Linked DNA regions of Arabidopsis thaliana. The protein of the gene in region 1 purifies or fractionates together with the protein of each later gene. This does not show direct contact. Each region holds a gene or a part of one and is shown in the gene's direction. Other genes may lie near its edges. The genes, in order: AT5G37610, PHB3, PHB4 and PHB5.

What was found.
Region 2: the proteins of AT5G37610 (region 1) and PHB3 fractionate together in Arabidopsis thaliana (co-fractionation; one large-scale study listed by BioGRID). This does not show direct contact.
Region 3: the proteins of AT5G37610 (region 1) and PHB4 fractionate together in Arabidopsis thaliana (co-fractionation; one large-scale study listed by BioGRID). This does not show direct contact.
Region 4: the proteins of AT5G37610 (region 1) and PHB5 fractionate together in Arabidopsis thaliana (co-fractionation; one large-scale study listed by BioGRID). This does not show direct contact.

What each region holds. Positions count from the first base shown.
Region 1 is NC_003076.8:14,935,304-14,939,904, forward strand, and holds AT5G37610 (Eukaryotic porin family protein), read left to right. Parts: upstream 1-2,728; 5' UTR 2,729-2,817; coding exon 2,818-3,309; downstream 3,310-4,601. Other genes in the region: GSR 1 (uncharacterized protein), read right to left, coding at 280-353.
Region 2 is NC_003076.8:16,313,508-16,320,098, reverse strand, and holds PHB3 (prohibitin 3), read left to right. Parts: upstream 1-2,807; 5' UTR 2,808-3,477; coding exon 3,478-3,789; intron 3,790-3,988; coding exon 3,989-4,510; 3' UTR 4,511-4,528; intron 4,529-4,610; 3' UTR 4,611-5,249; downstream 5,250-6,591. Other genes in the region: G6PD6 (glucose-6-phosphate dehydrogenase 6), read right to left, coding at 5,543-5,710, 5,872-5,917, 6,032-6,147, 6,248-6,318, 6,425-6,520. UniProt on the Arabidopsis thaliana protein: Prohibitin probably acts as a holdase/unfoldase for the stabilization of newly synthesized mitochondrial proteins. Necessary for mitochondrial and cell metabolism and biogenesis.
Region 3 is NC_003074.8:10,074,021-10,079,989, forward strand, and holds PHB4 (prohibitin 4), read left to right. Parts: upstream 1-2,788; 5' UTR 2,789-2,883; coding exon 2,884-3,195; intron 3,196-3,503; coding exon 3,504-4,031; 3' UTR 4,032-4,043; exon of another isoform or gene 4,044-4,243; 3' UTR 4,244-4,588; downstream 4,589-5,969. Other genes in the region: AT3G27270 (TRAM, LAG1 and CLN8 (TLC) lipid-sensing domain containing protein), read left to right, coding at 1-40, 1,614-1,686. UniProt on the Arabidopsis thaliana protein: Prohibitin probably acts as a holdase/unfoldase for the stabilization of newly synthesized mitochondrial proteins.
Region 4 is NC_003076.8:4,610,567-4,615,326, forward strand, and holds PHB5 (prohibitin 5), read left to right. Parts: upstream 1-2,535; coding exon 2,536-2,823; intron 2,824-2,995; coding exon 2,996-3,457; downstream 3,458-4,760. Other genes in the region: AT5G14285 (DNA-binding storekeeper), read left to right, coding at 114-878; AT5G14290 (Mitochondrial ribosomal protein L37), read right to left, coding at 1,646-2,044.

The sequences.
Region 1 (4,601 bases):
TAAAAAGTTTTGCAGTATTGGCAGATTCAGGAGCCTAATAGATTTATCAGCAAATTAAACATAGATCTGAAGAATAAACAAAACCAAATTGGCTCTAGAGGACTAAGAACAACCAAAGGCAGACACAAAACCAAAACTATAATCCATACAATCCCAAAAAGTAAAACAGAGTCAAAAGTTGAAAAAACAACACGAACCCATTAGATTTAGGTTTGATACGAGAACATATACACAAACAAAAAACGATTTTTATGAAAGAAACAAAAGAAGAAGACGAACCATATGTATTCAGCAATGATTTTGTCAGTGGAGTCTGAGAGGTTAAGGTTGATGAGATCTGAAACAAGACTCATGGCTACAAATACCAAGGGTTTGGATGATAGTAACAGTAATAAAAATGGAATCAAATCTGTCTCGTGTTTTGATATTTTGGTAGAGAGAGATATGAAGAGTAGTACTTATAGAAGGAGGAGGGGTGGGTGCAGAGATTGAGGAAGAGGGTGACGTGAAGACTTTGGAGACTTTTTGGCTCTCCACAAGGAAAGAAACAAAAAATACAACTAAATATCAGGAATAAAATTATAAAGATTCTTTCGCGGCCCAATGGAATCTCATATTTTTCAGGAATATTAAAGTTTACATATATAGACACACCAGGTTACAATTTTGTATGAGGTCATTGGAATAAAAAGAGAAAGAAATGTAATTATTTAAGGTAAAAATCTCTTTCTGTAAATGCTAAAATAAAATTTGGGAAAAATATTAATATTCTTAATACTACATTTTCTGTGTTATTGATTTTTAAATTATTAATTTTAATTGATACAAACATAATATGATATAACAATATATTTTTTTTTAATATGTGTAAAAAAAATCTTAAATGATATATAAAACAAAACGGACAAGTATAATTGATATATTATTTTATTTGTGCAAAATATATCAATAGATTTAGTATAATAATGTTTTAAACGGTGATTAGGTGGAACCATAATTAAACACTCTAATCATCTTGAAATTAGTATTTGTTTTCTAATGCAACTTACTTAGATTATTATTTTTAAACGAAATTCGCTTACTTAAATTTAGTATTAGATCGAAACCATTTGTCTCACATCTCCGGTTTCTCTCCAATCATTTTATGGGGTTTAAGGTCATTAATCATAAACAAGAATCAAAATAAATCTTTCCTTGAGGAATTTTGTGAAAATATCACGGTGTCATATCAATATCACAAGGTCATTGTTTTGTCTATCGAATCTTCGATCATCTTGAATCTATTCTGGTTTTTTTCCACAATGACTTTTCAACACAAAATATTGTTCTTACTTGACAAGAAAACGAGTACCAAAGAAACCGGAGATACTCTAAATTCTTAGCCATACAAACCCAAGTAAACTATCTAAAACCAAAGATTTTTGTTTTTGTTTTTTTGGTTTATATTCAACTTTATTAAAGATAATGAAACTCAAATATATATTCCGATTAGATAGTTGAGTTGACTTTGTTTTGGGAGCATGTAAGAGGACGTTTATGACGGGCATCGGTTGACTCGGCCCACAACCGTAAGAGTTGAAGTCTAAAATTGTTGACTTTTTTTTTAATTTTCTAAAAATATAATTATTTTTGACAGTTAAAAGTTAATTTCAAATCATATTTAATTATTTATTGAACACACATCTAATATATTCTTTGCAATTATATGATAACTTTTCATTTGAACAAAATTTGTAGTATCAATTCAACGTAGCTCCAATTAGATGACTACAAAGTCTGACATGTGGGATTTGTAAGCTTATAGTTTTAGAGAAGTCATAATGTCTTTCGATAATGTCTTTCGATAGAAGGTTCAAGCCAAAGACATCGATTGATTCGACAAAATTATCAAGATATATCTATCTTCTTATATAAATTCAAGATTCCGGTTAAACGTCTCAAAAGAGTTCTAATCATAAACAAGAAATTCAAAAAACTCTTCGGCTCAGAGGAGAGTGACCAAGAATTTTATCTTCTCCAGGAAGTCATTATTGATACGAATTTTTCTTTGAAACCGAAGTTCCTAAGAGTCAGATATAATTCTCTCATCTCAGTCTCCATTCTAAATTTTGAGGGAGACTGAAAGGGGATTAAGATGAGAGAATTAGGGTTCGGAGATTGAGAGAGAATTAAGATGATTCAGATATTTTCTTTCTAAAAGGAGAGAGGAACCAAAAGAAAAAAAATGTAGCGTGGATTAAGAGTTTAATTGAATATATTTTCTTCTAAATTGTAAATAGGATCTCCAAAACGGAAATGATACGAAAATTTTAGAACTTCTATATAATTTTTTTTTTATATCTTCTCTATGTCTCACTAATTTAGAAAATATAATAAAATCGTTTGATTTTAGTTAACTATGCTTTGGGAAAGATGTAATTTATTAAATATTTAAGAGAATAAACCAGAAAACAATTAACTACTTTTTAAACGATGGATATATAAATCAGAAATTAAAAATAGAGAACCCAAAGTAATAACATAATTTAATTTTTAATTTTTAATTTATATTGGATTAATATATATTCTAAATATTTGTGGTATTATATATTTATTTATATTATTTTTTTGTGCACCCAATTTTATTTATATTTATATTATATTTTTGTAGTAGACATCCCTAGAGAGTAAGCACAAGTTGGACATCTTTAGAGAGTAAGCAATATTATATTTATATTGATGTTGGGTTCTAATGACATCTAGAGTTTGCTTACCTCCTTGATTCTTTGCAATGTGTCCCTGTCCAATCGAAATGACTACAACCATGCTCAGTTGAACATGTTATCCGAACGGGCCAGAATCAGTACAATTGTGGGGTTGTTTGCAAATCCAATTCTCAGTTTTTCTGCTGTATTCGGAAATGACTTTTGGCGATTTGGATTTGAGTTAACTTTGGATCTTGTGAACCGGATAATCACTAAGGCAAACACAGTTCTTAGTTTGATCACCGAGGACACAACAACCACCTTTTCCATTGATAAGAAAGCAAGCTTATTCACTGCTTCTTACTACCAGCGCTTGCACTCTAAAACAGTGTGTGGTGCTGAGGCGAAGTACATATTATCTGACAAGAGCAACTCTTTCTCCATTGGGAAGAGACATTTATTTGGTGATGACGATTTGATCCAAGCTTTATTGAGTGTGAGCAATGGTGGTTCTATGAGAGTTCTTTTTCAACATCATTGGACTTTGAAATCATTTTTCACCATAGCTGGAGAAAGATTGTTGAACCATTCAAGTCAACGATTTGGTTTAGCAGTTGAACTATGAATAGTGATCACTTTTAAACCCTTTTTTTGTGTAATTCTGGTTACAAATTTATGATGAAATATGTTTTAAGTTTTTGTTTAAGATTAGGTGAATAATCTATTTCTGTTTTATTTAAGATTTTTTTATTAAAAAAAAATATGAAATGGAATCGACGAAACTAAATTGGATACGTACACGGGACCTATGAATAATGACAGTGTTAATACTTGTACCTTCAGAATTGTCCGATAACAATTATTGCATTCACAACTTGCATAAGGTGACATATCGACAAAAAAGTACATTCATTTTCAACTCTCTGCATTGCATATGTCATGTTTCTTAGACGATCGATTCAATCATTTTGTAAATAAATAATAATTATTGCATAGAAAGATTACAGTAGCTAGGGTGATTTAAGATCATATGCCATGTGTGTTTCAAATTAAGTTTATGACAAAATAACATGTTTTTGATCATTATAATGACATATATATTTCATTATTTTGAAATTCTTATTGAAATGTATTTTTTCATTATTCTACAGCATAATCTACCAAAGCTATATTGAATTTTCGCCCACTAGACCAAATTTTATAGATTCAAACTAGTAGACTTTTCCGAAATATTTGACTTAAGTTGCTTTAGATAAACGTTTTGCGGTAGTTAACTAATGATATATGTAGGCTAATGATTTGATTTATTTCTCACTAATATTCGATATCCACATAATGTATATTATTAGACAAAATTATATTTCTTGAAACAAATATATATTCTTAAATCAAAGAAATATCGTATAATTTTATTAATCAGCTAAGATCAAAAACAAATTAATTAATTGGTGAGCAGATCAACGACGTGCAAGAAAACTATCAAATAATAATAGTACGGAGTGTCTCTAAAAATATTCCTAAGGTGGGCCAACTGATTGTTACACATTTTAATTAAATGTTGGTGATAATGTAATGATGATGTATATTATTGTATCATGTGCTTAAGCTTACTATACCAATCTTTATACTATTAGATTAACAGAATTTCAATCATTAAAACAAAATCTTGAAAACAGATATGTGAAAATCTCACAATAAAAGTCAAATAATTGTTGTTCAGTTTCTGATGTGAGATCATAGGTCCACTCTTGCAAATCAAGCAGCGCCATTTATGCCTGCACGCATACTAAATTAATAAGTTGTGATAATCAGACGCAAAAAAGGAAAAAGAAGATGAAAAAACAGAAAGGTTCATCAACATACTAGTTGTTTACTTGGTTGTTTAACCAATTTGGAAGTATTGCCACTAATTGACTC
Region 2 (6,591 bases), 1.4 Mb from region 1:
AGTTGGAATAATGTTTTACGACGATTTCCATATTAATTCTTGAATTAAAATACTATAGAAACTAGTTGCCCCAAAAAAGAAAAACTATAGAAACTAAGAAGATGTGTAAAATAAAATATTTATATACGGATTCATCAACATGGTTGAAAAAATTAAGGTATCATCATAAGATTAATTAGTTAAAAATTTCAAGCAAATAGGTATAGTGATGAAAAAAAAAAAGAAAAAAAAAGGTATAGTGATGAATGTTATTTGTATGATGAGTCCTTAATTCTAACTAAATTCATCATTATCCGATTCCGAACAACTCCTATATGCACAAAGAATATTTTTACTCTCGATTTATCTCGTCGTTATGCATGTGAGCATTTATGTGATGACATGTTATGGCTTATGATAATAATAACAATGATTAGAAAATGTTATTGAAATGTTTAAAAGTCAAAACTGTTTTATAGTTAGGTTTTTGTGTGTGGAATTTATTGGGATTGAAGAAAAAACGTGTAAAGTAAAACTCTGTTGGGAAAGTTATTTAATGAGTCAACTGATGAAGTTCGAATTTTTTCCAAAAAAGAGAAAAATAGACGAACAAATTAGCGTATAAATACTAATACCATATAAATAGATTAAACGCAAGATGAATCTATCTCATGTAAAACTTTATGAAAATATAGTAGACAAAAATAAAAAAAGAGATACGTTGTTCAAAGAAGCAACTCACTAAATATCCTATATATATGAATTACTGGTTTAAATAACCTAATTACAGTTTACAGGAGTTTTATATGGATGTTGTCCAATGTCGTAAGCTCATAATCTTAGACTTGTTATGTTTATTTCAATAGAAGCGTGTAGACTAAACCGCAATTGGCAACTCGAGTGTTCCGTCTGTATCTCCGCATCGAATGAGAGATACATGCTTATGTAATATAGTTCAGCGCGGGCATGTTTGTATCTGCATTTAGTGATTGTGCAAACAAAAATCAAATGATCAAAGTAGTTAATGCCTCCAGTGAAGCATCTCGGAAGCTGTACACGAGAGGAAGTTTTCTTCAAAGAAATAATCAGTTGACTCGGTTTAATTGTTACGTGTCACCTAGTGTTGTAGGTTAAGGATGAAATTTATCTCCACCAGATTGCAAATTTATTTTTATTTACTCGTCAATCTATTTCATCTTCGTTGTATATGGTCAACGAAACTATTAGATTACAATCAATTGATTTTATAATTATTACTAAGGTATGAATAATTTCAACACCACCAATTAGCTATAGTTTCGATCTGCACTTTGACACTAAATTATAATTTTTATAATTTAGTGTATCAACGTGACATCATGTATGTGATAATTAGCTTACATTATCTTATACTAGTTTGTAAACAAATACTGGCCATTGGTGGAGGAAAATTATGTGCACTAAACAACAAATGAGCATCCATTATAGCTTAGACTAAAGAATATTTGCATTATATGTAATGAGTCTCATATTTAAGTAAATGGCAATTCTAAAATTTTTTCACTAGCTAGATAAAAACACATCAATACTTTTTATTGATCTACCATTGGTGGTCAGATGATAATTCGATTCAATGTTTAGCCTAAACATATTCTTTCTGACCGATTAAAAACCAAGTGAACGTTTTGTTTTGGTCGATCTATCCCAAGATTAGTTGGACTTTGTTCCAAATTTCTTGATGAGCAAACACAAAAGTGTAAATTGTTTCTTATTATTGTTGTCATGTACCATATATATATATTTGACAAAATAACCTAGTATAGTAGTAGTAGTATATATATAATTATATATATATATATTAATATTAGTTTCAGTTTGTTTATTTTACAATTATACACTTCTCACTCTAATTGGTTATCAAAGATTCATGTTTCCTTCACTTGGGTTGTTTCTTTTACCTGTTTCGATAATATTGATGACTACATATATATCCGGTTGGAGTCAAAATGTTGAAAGAATCGAATTTAGCTCAATCTTTGAAGTTGGCGTTTAGTTTTTGAAATTAAAGATTTCTCTGCAATATTTTAATTGAAAATCAATATTGAAGGACTTTTCTGTAATATAAATCTATTTTAAAGGTTATTTTCAAACCTGTATAAGATTCGACACCGAAACATTTGACATTTTCGATAACGTGGTGAGGTCACTGTGTGACCTTCCAAGTAAAACTCCATAATTTTCTTAGTATTCGAGACGACTTAATTGAGTCATATTAATTAAGTGATACATAATATCTCTATATTTTTTTGGTCGAAGATACATAACAATTTTACGGATAAAATATTTGGAGATTTACATGCTTTCAGATTCAGTTTTAATACTCGTGTACATCTGTCTTCAAATCCCACTTAACCGAATAGAAAAGTATTCGCGTATACTGTTTGTTGGTCAAAAAATAGTCACAAAAAGTTTTCAAAAATAGATATCATTGTTTCACAACTTTTCTTTTAAGGAAAAAAAAACACTTTTTATACTGGAAAAACTCAACAACAACGTCCCCTGCCGTTATATTTGAAAAGGATTAATCATGCTCACATGTAAATATTTTTCTTATACGAAAAAGTAGTTATCCTTATTCAACTTCGTGTTTGTCAAGTAGCTCGAAGAATATTTTTGTTCACTACCGTTGGCTTGTACTAATCTAATACTTTTATAGTAGGCCCTTAACACCATACAAATGTCCAAGTAGGTATATTCTTCAATTTTTATTTGATTAAACAAATTGAGATAAACTATTGGCGTTGACCGATCTTGGTTTTCATTGCCTCGATTTTGCTGTTTTATATTTGGTTTCTTCTTGCTGGTTGGGATGCTGTTTTTGAACTGTGAGGTAGTCTTCATTTGTTATAAGAAGAGCTGCTATCTTGATGCTGTGGATTAGAATTTCCCCGTCGTTTAGCCATTTCTGCAAGCTTTTCTTTATCTTGGATTGATGGTGGGCAATGTCTCATGTGCTAGATTCTGGTTATAGTTTTTGATTTTCCATGGTTCAGTTTCTATTTTCTTATGCATTTAAAGTAATGTTTGTTAGCTTCCCATACTTTTGGGCTTTAGTCTCCGAGGATTTTTGTTATCCGTCGACTTAGTTTTTGAGATTATCTTGTTAATCGTCAGCTTTAACTTTGTAAACTCTATCTATAATCTATCTTTCAGTAAAAAAAAAATAAAAAAAATTGAGAGAAACATAATTTATGAGACAAAAAGATATTAAACATACTCTGTAACCGTTAAGCTGTTTTCAGCCCAATGTCATGAAACCCATTATTGAATTTAGTTCTTAATAGGCTTATATAGTCACATAATAATATTGGGCTAAGTTACTTGGCCCATTAAATCATTTCCCGTGGTAGGTTCCAGAAACATATCATAAACCCTAGCAGAAACTCTTTCCTCTCTCGTCGTCTCAAATCTCTTCTTCCTTCTTCTTCTCTCTCGATTCAAGATAATCCACACGCAAAAATGGGAAGCCAACAAGCGGCTGTTTCGTTCCTTTCCAATTTGGCGAAGGCTGCTTTCGGTCTTGGAACGGCGGCGACGGTGCTGAATACATCGCTTTTCACCGTTGACGGCGGAGAAAGAGCTGTTATCTTCGATCGATTCAGGGGAGTGATGGATCAGACTGTGGGTGAAGGGACTCATTTCTTGATCCCGATTCTTCAGAGGCCTCACATCTTCGATATCCGCACGAAGCCTCACACGTTCTCTTCAATCTCTGGTACTAAGGATCTCCAGATGGTTAATCTCACTCTTCGTGTTCTCTCTCGTCCTGAGGTATAACGCATAACGGTTCTTCATTTTTGATCTAGACTCGTTTGATTTCTCTGAATTGAGGTTTTTCAGATTCATTTGCGAATTGGATTTAGGGTTTAGGGTTTTGATGATCTATGATTTTCAAAATTTGTTTCGAGGACTAGGTATTGTAGAATCGTTATTAATTTGGTGTGTTTATGTGATGTGAATTGTTGTGAAGGTGTCGCGTCTCCCGTACATCTTCCAAACTTTGGGTCTAGAGTATGACGAGAAGGTTCTTCCTTCGATTGGAAATGAGGTTTTGAAAGCTGTGGTTGCACAGTTCAACGCTGACCAGCTTCTCACTGAGCGTCCTCACGTCTCAGCACTTGTTCGGGAGTCACTAATCACCCGTGCGAAGGACTTCAACATTGTGCTTGATGATGTAGCTATCACGCATTTGTCCTATGGTGTGGAGTTTTCAAGGGCTGTTGAGCAGAAACAAGTGGCTCAGCAAGAGGCAGAGAGGTCTAAGTTTGTTGTGATGAAGGCTGATCAAGAGAGGAGAGCTGCGGTTATAAGAGCTGAAGGTGAAAGTGAAGCTGCTCAGTTGATTTCTGATGCTACGGCTAAAGCTGGTATGGGACTTATCGAGCTTAGGAGGATTGAAGCTTCAAGGGAGATTGCGTCTACACTTGCTAGGTCTCCTAATGTGGCCTACTTACCCGGTGGCCAGAGCATGCTCTTTGCCCTGAACCGTTGATCTTGATCAGATATGATGGTATGTAAAAGCTTCATCTGAATCCATAGAATTAAGTCGTTTTGTGATTTGTCTGAAGGCTTTGTATTATGGTTATGTGCAGGTTGTTTGGGAGCATTTTGCGATATTTTAATGATCAAGTTGTGAATCTGATTGAATCAAAAAGGTGAAATGCTCTTTTGTTTTGATGAACTCTGAAGAAGAAAAAGAAACTAGTTGTTTGAGTTGTCATTATTGTGTTCTGAATCTCGGCAAAATTTACTCTACCTGAAGAATCTTTGTTTTCAGCATCATGTTTATCTAATTCTCAACAAATAAATGATTTTGGCTGAACTGTAAGTAATTTGTTTGTTACACATGCGTGAGAAAAGAAAATACAGATGGTACCTAGGAGTGTTGTTCTATGCGGATAAACTATGGTCACATCTGGATTATCTAGATGGTACCTATTTTGCATAAACTGTCGATAGTCTACGTCAAATTTCGATCTGTATGGACATTCAATTGTTTTTGCATAAACAGAGCAAGTTCAGAAACAAAGCAAATAAAGAAGAGAAATCATGAAAGATAGCCTTTTCTATCGAGATCCATTTTATCCATCGGTTTTAGTTTTTTTTTTTTTGGTCATCTAATGATAATGATGACTATGTAAAGACGGCGTCGGTTCCTAGACTCAACTTATGTGTCTGTGTCAACAAACTCTAGATGGAACTTAATGTGTGTTTCAACCACCTCTAGATTGAACTTATGTGTGTATATCAACAAACTCTACATTTTTTGGCAATTTTTTCTATCTCATCGTCAATTTCATTCATTTAACGAGCACAACAAAAGCTAAATTCATTTATGGTATTGGTAAGATTTTTATTTTTATTTCTACAAAGCCGCAAATACAAGACCAAAGGAAGTGTCAAAGTGAACAGCTGAAGTAGCAAGTTTCACGTACAAACACCAAACTCGAGGAGGGACTATTCAGCATAATTTATACATATACATGTAGATACATGTATTGTGTATTTATATATATGTAGGGTTTTATAGTGTAGGAGGGATCCAGATATAGCCGTGAGTCTGAAGATAACCAGCTTTCTCTAGTAGCTGATCAGCTTCTTTCGGTCCTCGGCTTCCTGGTTTGTATGGGATTGACTTTACTTCTCCTTTGTCGATCCTGTGGAGTAGCGGCGTGAAGATCTCCCACGCAACCTGTAATAATCATCAAAATGGATACAAATGTTAGCTCCTGAATTGTATGATGCAAAAGTTTGTGTCTGGATTGTGTCTATAGTTAGAGCATTTGTAATGTAACAAAAAAACGATCTCAGAGACTGCTTTGGTTTAAGGGTGGCGTTAGAAAATGTTTCTACCTTTAATTCGTCTCTACGAACGAAATGTTGTTGATCGCCTTTGATTCTGCAGAGAGATGGAAAGAAAATATGTTGAAGATAACATGAAGGAACAGAAGGCATCAATTAGATATATAAAGCCTATTGGGGTAGTATATAATTTAGAAAATTTATTTCTTACGTGTCAAGAATTAAGCGCTCGTATGCCTCAGGGATAGCGACACCTTGATACCGTTGCCCATACGACAAGTCTAGTTCACTTTGCACAGTATTCATATCTAGACCTGGTTGCTTAACCTGTGTAGCAAAAGCATAGCCAAAAGCGTTATGGTTCACTGTAGTGGTTCAAGGTCAGAGTAATTAGTAAATTATGTTTGTTTGTTCATCATATACTTACAGTTAGTTTCATGTACATTGCCTCTGAAGGTTGCAAGCGTATCACAAACTCGTTCCTTCCTTGCTTTTGACCTGTTGCAAGAGAGTTTAGACAAAGCGATACATTGTGTCTTTACATATATTTAAATTCAAAAAGCTAAAAGAAGATTCAAAACACGATGTCAGGGCAAGACAATACATCTGAATATGTCGCCTGGGACATCCTTGAATTGAATGCGAATTTCTGCCTTCCTTGAATTCAACGCTTTTCCGGCCTTTAATATAAATGGAACACCTGAAAGATATATCCAGGACCGTTAGAATGTGCATGCAAACATGTCGGATTTTGGTTCCACATGCTTTAAC
Region 3 (5,969 bases), on another chromosome or scaffold:
TTTTTCAGGAAAGATATTCCAAATTTACCAAAAAGGTTAGGTAAAAATATATTTACAGTTTCCATATTCGAGATTTTGTTATCTAATTTGAGCGTAAATTAATATCTCCGAATAAATTATGTTCATGGATTTGGTTGCATATATATAAAAATTGTCCGGGACAAATTTTTAAAAAAATTATATCTTAGATTCCAAAATAAAGTCTCAAAATAATTAACATATAGTCAATCAAAGTTTTTATATGCTATTAGAGTTGTTTAATAGTAAAAAAACAAAAAAACTTTGGTTGACTCTGTCAAGAATAAAATGAGATTTGTTCTCTAATTTTAGCGTAAAATAATAAATCTGAATTAATCATATCCCATTATCTCTGGACTTGGAGCTATATGATCAGTACTATCATTGAATTTAGACACAAATTGGTTATAAGGGTGTTCGTTTAATATAGTTTGGTATTCGGTTTTTACAAAATAAATTTGAAAATCCGAGACAAATTGGATATTCAAAATAATTGACAGATCGTAAGGTTTATTTTTATTGAAGATAGAATACTTTTAATTATTATTGTGAGTCGGTCTTAGGTTGTTGAGACGAAAGTTAATTATAAGAATGTTTGTCACAACCCATTACTAAGTCTAAAGCATAGAAAACTTGGGATGACTAAACTTGGGGTGACTTGTACAATATCAAAAATCGAGATCATTGCCTCGGACAATAATAAATTCCACAAAAGTACGAGTGACTAGTGTCCACGAGACTAGTGGTTGAAAATTAGGACTTGAATTCATTCCCTCTAGAAGTTTATACAAATTTCAGACCAACTTTTTAATTAACACTTTTTTTCATTTATTTTTTCTTGAGCAAAATAAGAGAGGAAGTAAGATAGATTAAAATTTAAACAACCACAAGATAAACATGCTTTAAGATTCTAGTTAAGAGATGGATAATTGAACGAATCCAAACCAATTGGAGGGGAATGGTCTGTTAGATTTCACATGTTAGAGGTTCCTCCATGAAGTCTAGAGTTAGACTCTTTCGAAATCTCACAAAATGTAGCTTGAAGGATGAGTTTGACATCAACAATCTGTTGGTCCAATAGTAAATCTCCCAGATGGAGGTGTTGAGTTCAAAGCATGTTGGGAGGGATTTTTTCTCCTAAAAAGATGAATTTAACTTGGTGTAGGTCTCGCCAGGCTGACCTCGCCCATATTTACAAATTACAATATCATCAAAACCCGAAGGAGTAAACAAAGAGTGGTGATTAAAGAATGAAGTGTCATTTTAAATAGCTCCCACTTGTTTTTCTCTCGATCTCAATCTGACAGAAACTGATATATTCCACTGATCTTCATCGATTCATCAAAGTTTTAGATTTTAATTCAGATTTCATCTTAAGGGAGGGTATTACGAGTATAGGAATGTGATTATCATATTAATGAAAGTTGAGGTTTTAAAAATAGCTTAACCAAACAAATGTAATCTTGCCAAAAAGATATAAAATGAGTCCATCAACAAAATTTATCGGAGTTACAAGATCATCAGATTCCGAAAAGCTTTTCTGTTTATGCGAGCGGTAATAGTGTTTTTTGATGTCTCCGTCGATTTCTTTGAAGGTGGCCAAAGGCGAAACGGAGACACTATTGTGCAACAAGTTGTTCATTTGTTTCCAAACATGGTAAGCTGTAGCATGAGCAACTCCTACTAATTTCCAAAGAATTGTGGGAGCAGTCTCTGTTTTTAGCTTAGTCCAAGCCAGAATTGAAATCCAAGTAATAAAGATATAAGGCGATATCGTTAATCCTCTTCTGGTGTTTTCTGTATGTAAAACGGCGTCTTTCTTTTGATTCGAAACGGAGGAGTTTGTGAAGGGTAACAAGACGGAATGGTTCTTTATATCTGGGAGGACCAAGATGGGGAAATGTGGAAAAAGAATGAATCGTAGAGACAATGGAGGATACTGGAGGGTAGTATCATCTCTGCCAAGAAGATTCATGCTGGAGAAGCAGGCCTTGTCGGCTACAAATACTCACTAGAGTACTACATTGGAAAACAACCAAAATGGCGTAAAAGAGGGTTGGTTGATGCATGAACACTGGCTTAAGTCTTCTGATGATATTAATAACTACGAGCTGGTAAGAGTATATATGTACGTTTACTTACTTGGTTTCCAAGTTATTGAGACTCTTGAGTTTTGGTTTTTATTGTGACGACTTCTGTTGTTTTGTTTGAGTAGGGCAATTATGCTATGTGCAAGATCTATCTGAGTCCACACGCAGCAAAGAAGAAGAAAACACACGATGAAGAGATCGACGATTTAGTTCAATTTGTGGAAGCAGCCTTAGATGTTTCTTTTTATCTACTTTTGCTGTCCAAAGTCAGAGGTCTCATTGTCTTTATATAGAATTTCTTGTATATAACATTTTCCACTGGTTGTATAGAAAAATCAATTTTAGTCTTTTGTGCTTATTCACTCTAATCAAAATCTCTAATCAAGGTGAAGGAGGAGGTGGAGGAAGAACATTTTCATCTTGCTCTCTAAGAAGATCCAAAATCTCTGCAGGGTTGTTATCAACACGCTCTTCGTCTCTGTCTTCCTCTCCGGATTTAGTTTCGTTTATGGGCAAATAATCAAATTCGGGTTTAATCTTCCAAACCGTTGTTTCCTTTTATATTACATCATTTCCTTTTCCTTTTTTATTATTGGGCCGAAGTAGTTTATATTATTAATGGGCTTTAAACAAGCCCATATTCAATAATTGTCGGCCAAAAAAAACCCTCTCTTCCAAGTTCCAAAATCATTTCATAAACCCTAACAAACCCCTAAATCTTTCCTTTCTCAATTCTCTCCTTCGAAGCTTTTTTCTTGTGAGGTCAGAAAAGAAAATGGGAAGTCAACAAGTAGCGATTTCGTTTCTGACGAACTTGGCGAAGGCGGCGTTTGGGTTAGGTGTGGCGGCGACGGCACTAAACTCGTCGCTCTACACTGTTGATGGTGGCGAGAGAGCTGTTTTGTTCGATCGATTCAGGGGAGTGTTGGATCAGACCGTCGGCGAAGGGACTCATTTCTTGATCCCGTATCTCCAGACGCCGCACATATACGATATTCGTACGAAACCTCACACTTTCTCCTCCAAATCTGGTACTAAGGATCTTCAGATGGTTAATCTCACCCTTCGTGTTCTCTTTCGCCCTGAGGTAATTTCGATTTTAGCAACAATCAATTTCTCGATTCTGTGTTTGATTTTGTATACATTGGTTGTTTACAAGATCGAGGGTTTAGGATGATCGTGTTCGTTCGATTTAGCAATCATTTATCGATTCTGTGTTTGATTTCGTGGAATTTGAAGTTTGTGTACAAGATCTAGAGTTGAAGATAATCCTTATGTGTAATTTGGTTTCTTCGATGAATGTTACTCTTATTATAGAAGCTTTTGGTGCATATCTATGCTGGCTTCGATTGTTTGAGGGATTGAATAAGTTGTTGTGGTTATTTTACTGTGAAGGTTTCGCGTCTCCCGTACATTTTCCAAACATTGGGTCTTGAATACGATGAGAAGGTTCTTCCATCGATTGGAAATGAGGTCTTGAAAGCTGTGGTTGCTAATTTCAATGCTGATCAGCTCCTCACTGAGCGTCCTCAAGTATCAGCACTTGTTCGTGATGCTCTTATCAAGCGTGCCAGGGAATTTAACATTGAGCTCGACGACATAGCCATTACTCACTTATCGTACGGTGCTGAGTTCTCGAGGGCAGTGGAGGCGAAGCAAGTGGCTCAGCAGGAAGCTGAAAGGTCAAAGTTTGTGGTGATGAAGGCTGATCAAGAGAGGAGAGCTGCGGTTATAAGAGCAGAAGGTGAGAGTGAAGCTGCTCAGTTGATATCAGATGCAACAGCTAAAGCAGGAATGGGACTAATTGAGCTTAGGAGGATTGAAGCTTCAAGGGAGGTTGCGGCTACTCTGGCTAGGTCTCCGAACGTGGCTTACTTACCTGGTGGACAAAGCATGCTCTTTAATCTGAACCCTGGTCGTTGAGCTATAACATTGGTATGCTCTTTTACTTCTTTGAATAATGAATGAAAAATGGATTTGGACTTAAGATTCCCATTTAAAGGCATTAAGGTTATTCGGTTTGGTTGAACTAAGAGTGGTTATGGTTTGGTATAAACTGTTTGGTTTGATAGTAGAGTATGGTTTAGGTTTGTGGAATGGTGTGGTTTACTTGTTTGGCCTTGTTGTATTTGCAGGTGGGAAGAGGAGCTTCAGTGGAGACAAAACGACGGAGCTGTGAAGTTTATTAACGTTGATGCTCTTTTATTTCTGATGAACACGATGTGAAAAAAGATAATTGTTTTGAGCCGTTCTATCTTTTCTGACTCTAGAAGTAAAGACTATGCCATTGTTGTCGAAACCCGATCATTCCAATGAAAGGCTTCACCAAAAAATCTACCATAACAATAGTCGAAATTTGTATTGTCAAAAACAATTTCCAACACCAAGGTTGTTGTACTTGTATTATTTAAAATATAAATTAAAACATGGTAAATAAATTAAATAAAACTTTTTTATGTGGTCACTTTGGTGGCTTCGGTACATGCGGTGGCCTCTTGTGGTGGGGTAGACAAACTCTAAGTATAGTGCATTCACAAACTTTAACTTTTCCCTTCAAATTACAATTTGCTCCACCATAACCTTCGTTGTTACAACTCGTTCGGCACCTCCTAGCACCGTCTACCTTATTACACGTCTCTGGCGGTGCTTTGCTTGGATAATCATCACACAATTCCCAATTCATTGCTTTTCCTAATACAATAATTCGATCAATTACAAGTATTTATATCGTATTGATTATATATGCATATTTTTGTTTTTTTTCAATGAAAATATATTTGGTAGAAGATTTAATATTATTTACGATTTTATCTCCTTGTAGTGATTTATTTTACAGCTAAATTACAATTTTGACAAATTTCCTTAATTTTTTTTTTAAATGAGTATAAGAAGTTCCATTTTTTCAATATTTGTATATCTTGTAATTTATAAACCAAAAGTTTAACCGCAAATAACACCTTTTTTTTTTGTTGCATTAAGCATCTATCATTATAAATCAAACTTTTAGACATTTTGTTTTTCCTTTTATAAGTTTTTATTTTTCTTTGTTAATAGAGTGTTTTATGAATAATAAATCTAAGTGTCATATTGCTATATATCAGGAATTATTATTTCTAAAAATAGAAGAAGAAATGAGAGATAATCCGTAAAAAATGCCTATGAAATTGTTTAATGAAAAGAAACATTCATTATTAATTTATATCATAATTCTCTTTTTTCATATAACTTTGATATGTTTCTTTATTAAAAATATGTTATTTAAACGTAATAATTACCTACATGATATTATGCATTATACACTGGATGTACAAACTGCGAATAAGTATTGGAATATGAGAGGTATTATTAAGTAAACTAGGTTTGGATGAAGTGACTAGTGAGGATGGTTGGGAGATCTTGCAATGAAAGTTTGTGATCATGGGCTCATGTTTCCAGGGAATGTACAAGCAGGAGTGGATTGATAAGAGATTGATCCATTTTGAAAATTATACAAGTCATTTAACAAAAGCTACATATGGAGGAGATTAAAAGACTAATTAATGATAATGTAAAATAACTCTGATATATTCTTTATTCTCTTCTCTTTTCTTGTAAGTTCTACTTATTTCCCATTTGAATCCTGGTGCTTCAACTTTCAAGTAAAGCTCTAGTCTTTGCTTCTCTTCATCTCTCATGATCAAGTTTGACTCGAGTCCGTTGCAGAATCAAGTTTAGCTCAGATCTTTCATGATGCTGTAGATGAAGACTAAACACCCTTCTGAGTCTTATCATGTTTCCATTTTTTGTTGCAGCTCTTCTTATTGACTTAGGTTTGATACCTCAAGCACCAAGACTCTTCATTCTTCAGAAAACAGTGTATTG
Region 4 (4,760 bases), about 10 Mb from region 1:
AGCTAAAACTCAACGAGACGACAGACGATAAAAAGGGATTAAGTTTCTTCTGTGTAGATTATTCTTCTTCTTCTTCTTCTTCCATTGTCTCTTGGGTTGAGATTCCGATCTCAATGTCGATCAATATCGGAGAAATCTCAATTCCAGACCTTCCTATCTTCTTCTCCATGTTCTTAACCATCTACCTAATCGCTTACTTCATCGTCTTCCGCAATTGGAAACCACAAATCCGTCCCGAAGCTTCAAGCTGCCTGATCTCAATCTTCCATGGATCTCCAGCGGTTTTCCTCGCCACACGCGCAGTTTTCTCCTCCTCCGAACGCTCCTTCGCCTCCGCAAACACCGCCGCACAAAACACCGTCCTCGATTTCAGCGTCGCTTACTTCCTCACCGATCTCTTCCACTACATCGTCTTCAACCCTAACGACGTACTCTTCATCGGCCATCACGTAGCCACTCTATTCGTCTTCCTAACCTGCAGATTCCTCGTCTTCCACGGGGCTTGCGCCATCTTAGGCCTCCTGATTCTAGCTGAAGTAACAAGCGCGTGTCAGAACGCGTGGACGCTCGCCGGAGCAAGGAAGAATGATCCGGAATCACGATTAGCTGTGAAAGTGTACGATCTCTTGTCTCCTCCGTTTTACGCCTTCTACAGTATCGTTAGGGGTGTGTTGGGACCTTTGTTTTTCGGGAAAATGGTAGCGTTTTACGCTCGAGGTGGTGCTCATGGTGTGATACCTAATTGGTTGTGGATTTCTTGGGCAATTGTTGTTGGAATTGCTATTACTGTTAGTATACTTTGGATTTGGAATCTCTGGATAGAATTGTTTAGTGAAAGGAAAGCTAACAAAATCAGAGTAGACAAGAAAATTAGATAGTTTCTTCTTTCTTCTCTAGATCATTGTTTGATCTTCCTTTTCATGTACTATATATAATATATATACCATTATTATTCTCACCTTTTAGAATTCCTCTAAATGATGTATGTTTTGGAATAATAGATTTGCTTTTGGGTAAGCAGTATGTGCAAAATGCACTTTTAATTCAACTCTGTATTGTTCAGAAGTTCTTCTCTTAAGAGTTTCTTCCATACACATATGTCTTGTCTCTCTGCTACACTTGGTTGCTCACATCTTGATTCTTGATATTGATGAGAAACGTTTTCTTTATGAAGTGTGCCATTCTTGGTGAGTTATATTTGGCTTTATAACTCTCTTTGTTTACGGCCAACACCAAGTCCCCTGAAACCAGCAACTGGTAAGCCATATATTCTTTTACTTGGAAGAATCAAAAGTTAGCTGGGGAAGTGTAAGAAATTACGAAACACAGAGATTCATATCTTCGATCATTGGATTGTGAACTTTTCATGTGTTGAAGAGGATAGGAAGAGAATTGGGGACTAAACATACCATCCAAGCTGAGACATGGTGTTAGGCAGTCTGTTGTGGAAAGCTGAATGATATACCATTTGGCCAATGAATAGCATAAAATACACAAATTTAACCAATTTACTGAGAAGAGCATGGAATTAGAGAAAAATCTTTTAAGATCAAATAATCCCAAAGATAATAAGGAAAATGAAGGGATTGCTCAAACAAGGGGAATTATAAGGGACACATACAACAAGTCATTGTTGAATCTCATTTCAGTTCTTGGCCTTGATAGAATGGTTCTCCTTGATTCTAGCTCTGGTATCCAGCTTCACAAAACGTTTAAGATCATCAAAACTAAGAGTCTCAACGTTCTTCCTTCTAAGTTCGCTAAGCGCCGGTCGCTTATCAAGCAGATGCCATAAATAATCAGGGTGATCTGAATTAGGCAAGATCTTAGGGTCCAATCCATCTTTCAGAGTATTAGCACTAACAACCATACTCGATTTGATCTCTTTGCTCAAGTTCGATGCTTTTGGTGCATCATTACCTCCATCTCCCCTCCCAACCTTCTTCGCTTTACCAGCAGCTGTAGCAAATGTTCTTTGGCACACAAATCGCATTACATCTTTGGATCTAGAAATGGAATCCCCAAACATTCGAATAAGGTTCATATCAACAACCTTATACCTGCAAATTCACAAAATAAAACTAAATAAATCTACACAATCCTATAATGTTCGTTCTCGGATTTAGATCAAGATTCGAGTTTTGTCGAAGATTTTTGGGTGAGGGTTTAACTCGCAAGATAGAGATAGGTAGCGAGTGCATCGCGGGAACTGGTAAAACTTATTAAAAAGTAACGGACCGGAAAATTAAAAGACCCGTCTAAAAGCCCACCAATAGTAATGCATACAAGTAACACGTGGCAGGTATGGTTGACCGAGTGAGTAACAGAACGTGAGAAAACCGACCCGCTAAATAAGAACCCGCCCAATATAATAAGCTTTCTCCTTAACTTCTGCCTCACGCAAAAAAAAAAACTTCCTATAAAACCTCATCTCCTGCGTTCTCTAACTACTTCTCACCTATCTGACAAGAAAAGAAACCCTAAACAACATAAAAAGAAACCTAAAATCCATACAGGAGACATTCAAAGCCAATCATGCCTTGGTCAAAGTTCACAAAGGTAGCTCTAGGTCTAGGAGCTGCCATAGCGGCTGTGAGATCAACAATGTTCACCGTTGATGGTGGCCAGAGAGCTGTTATGTTCCACCGATTCGAAGGGATTCTAGAAGAACCAGTAGGAGAAGGGACACATCGTAAGATTCCGTGGGTGCAAAAGCCGTATATCTTCGACATTCGGACCAAACCCTACAAAATCAATACCGACTCTGGAACTAAGGATCTTCAGATGGTCAACCTCACACTTCGTGTTATGTTTCGCCCTGATGTAAGTTCCCGCGAATATCCAAAAAATTTCACTAATAAGATTTTGTGATATATATGTAAAATAATATATAACTGTTTTCCGTGGGTTCGTGTTAGGTTTCGCGCCTCTCGTATATATACCAAAACTTAGGTCTCGACTATGGTGAAAAGGTCCTACCAGCGATCGGGACGAGGTGGTTAAAGCGGTGGTGGCTCAGTTCAACGCTGACGAGCTCTTAACAGAACGTCCACAGGTCTCAGCTCTTATACGCGAAACGTTGATCAAGCGAGCTAAGGAGTTCAACATTGTTCTCGATGACGTGTCGATCACTGGTCTCTCATACGGTAAAGAGTTCTCACTTGCGGTGGAGCGGAAGCAGGTGGCACAGCAAGAAGCTGAGCGGTCCAAGTTCGTAGTGGCAAAGGCTGATCAGGAGAGACGAGCGGCTGTGATTAGAGCAGAAGGAGAGAGCGAGGCGGCTCGGGTTATATCGAAAGCGACTGCAGGGGCTGGGATGGGGTTGATCAAGCTCAGAAGGGTCGAGGCGGCTAGAGAGGTTGCGATTACGCTCTCTAATTCTCCCAATGTCGTCTATTTGCCAAGTGGTGGGAATATGTTGTTTGCAATGAACGGTCCAAGCAAAGTTGTTGCTTGAATTAGTTGCAAAAATATGGTGTTCAATGGTTATATTGATTTGTGTGTTTTAAGATTTTCATTTTTTTATATAGTTTCCTAGTATTGGATCACCCTAGTATACTCCAGTTGAGACTGTTCTTGCGAGTCTGAGACTCGCACACATGACACATGACACATCTACTGTTAAGTCGACATTGACATCAAATTAAACAATCACTGTGCCAATCAAACTTATGCATAGACCTAGAGATAATTAAGTAGTCCAAGTTCAAAGGTTGATCTAACCTGGATCAGTGCCCTTGGTAGCTATGGCACATACTTCCTCACTAGGGAAAATGGGAGCTGATTATCCAGCAGCTTTCGATTAGATATCAACAAACAAAATGCAAATTAGGTTATCTTAGAAAGAAAAAAAAACAAGCTATTCATCGGATCACAAGTCACAAGTGTCACCTCGAAAGAAACTTGGGCCCATCTATATTATCTTATGGGCCTTATCGACCGATTCAAATATTGCAAATTAGTGTCGTTAACCTTTTTTGAAAACATACGGCCATTAGTGACAATTTAATTAATATTCTACAAATTCGAGCAGTGTCTTCTACATTTCTTTGTAAAGTCTTTGGTTTTTAATTTTAAGGTCAAGTTCACCATGAGCGACCAAAGTTTTGAATTTTTCAAGGTTTTTATTTTCATTTTATCGTTGTATGGAGAAAGTTTCTTATATCTTCATTTGAACATTGAATAGAATTATTAAACATTATAATTCAAGGTAGGATGGTCAAACAATTATTCTAGATTTCCCTCTTAAATTCCCAAATTTAACATAATTTAAGCTTTTGGTAACCAAAAATCTAACATCTTACAAAATTTAATAAATGTTTTTGGCCCAAAGAAAATTTATAGTGCTGGCAAAAGAAAAATTATAATGAATGTGCTCTTAATTAAATAACCAAGATGAGTTGATTAATTATGGATTTTGTAACAAAATAAATAATTTAAGGTGCTGTCATTTTGCCCACACGTCTATGATTAAAAACATAATGAAGTGTCAATAATCTCTATGATTAATAGTTTTGGAATCTTACTCAATAAGTTCCAATTTATAAAATCAGTGAATAGCAAAGATATATAAATAATACGCAAAGAGAAAAGAAAGAAAGAAAAAAAAAACTTTCAGCATTTGTACGTTTCTAGAATTTTACAAATCACAAAAGCAAGAGAGAACATTCGTGTTACGGTAACCGCGTTTCAGAGGATCATTTTCTCATATCTCTCTCGTAGCCAATGACACTTTCTCCACAATCCTCTCTCTTTCTTCT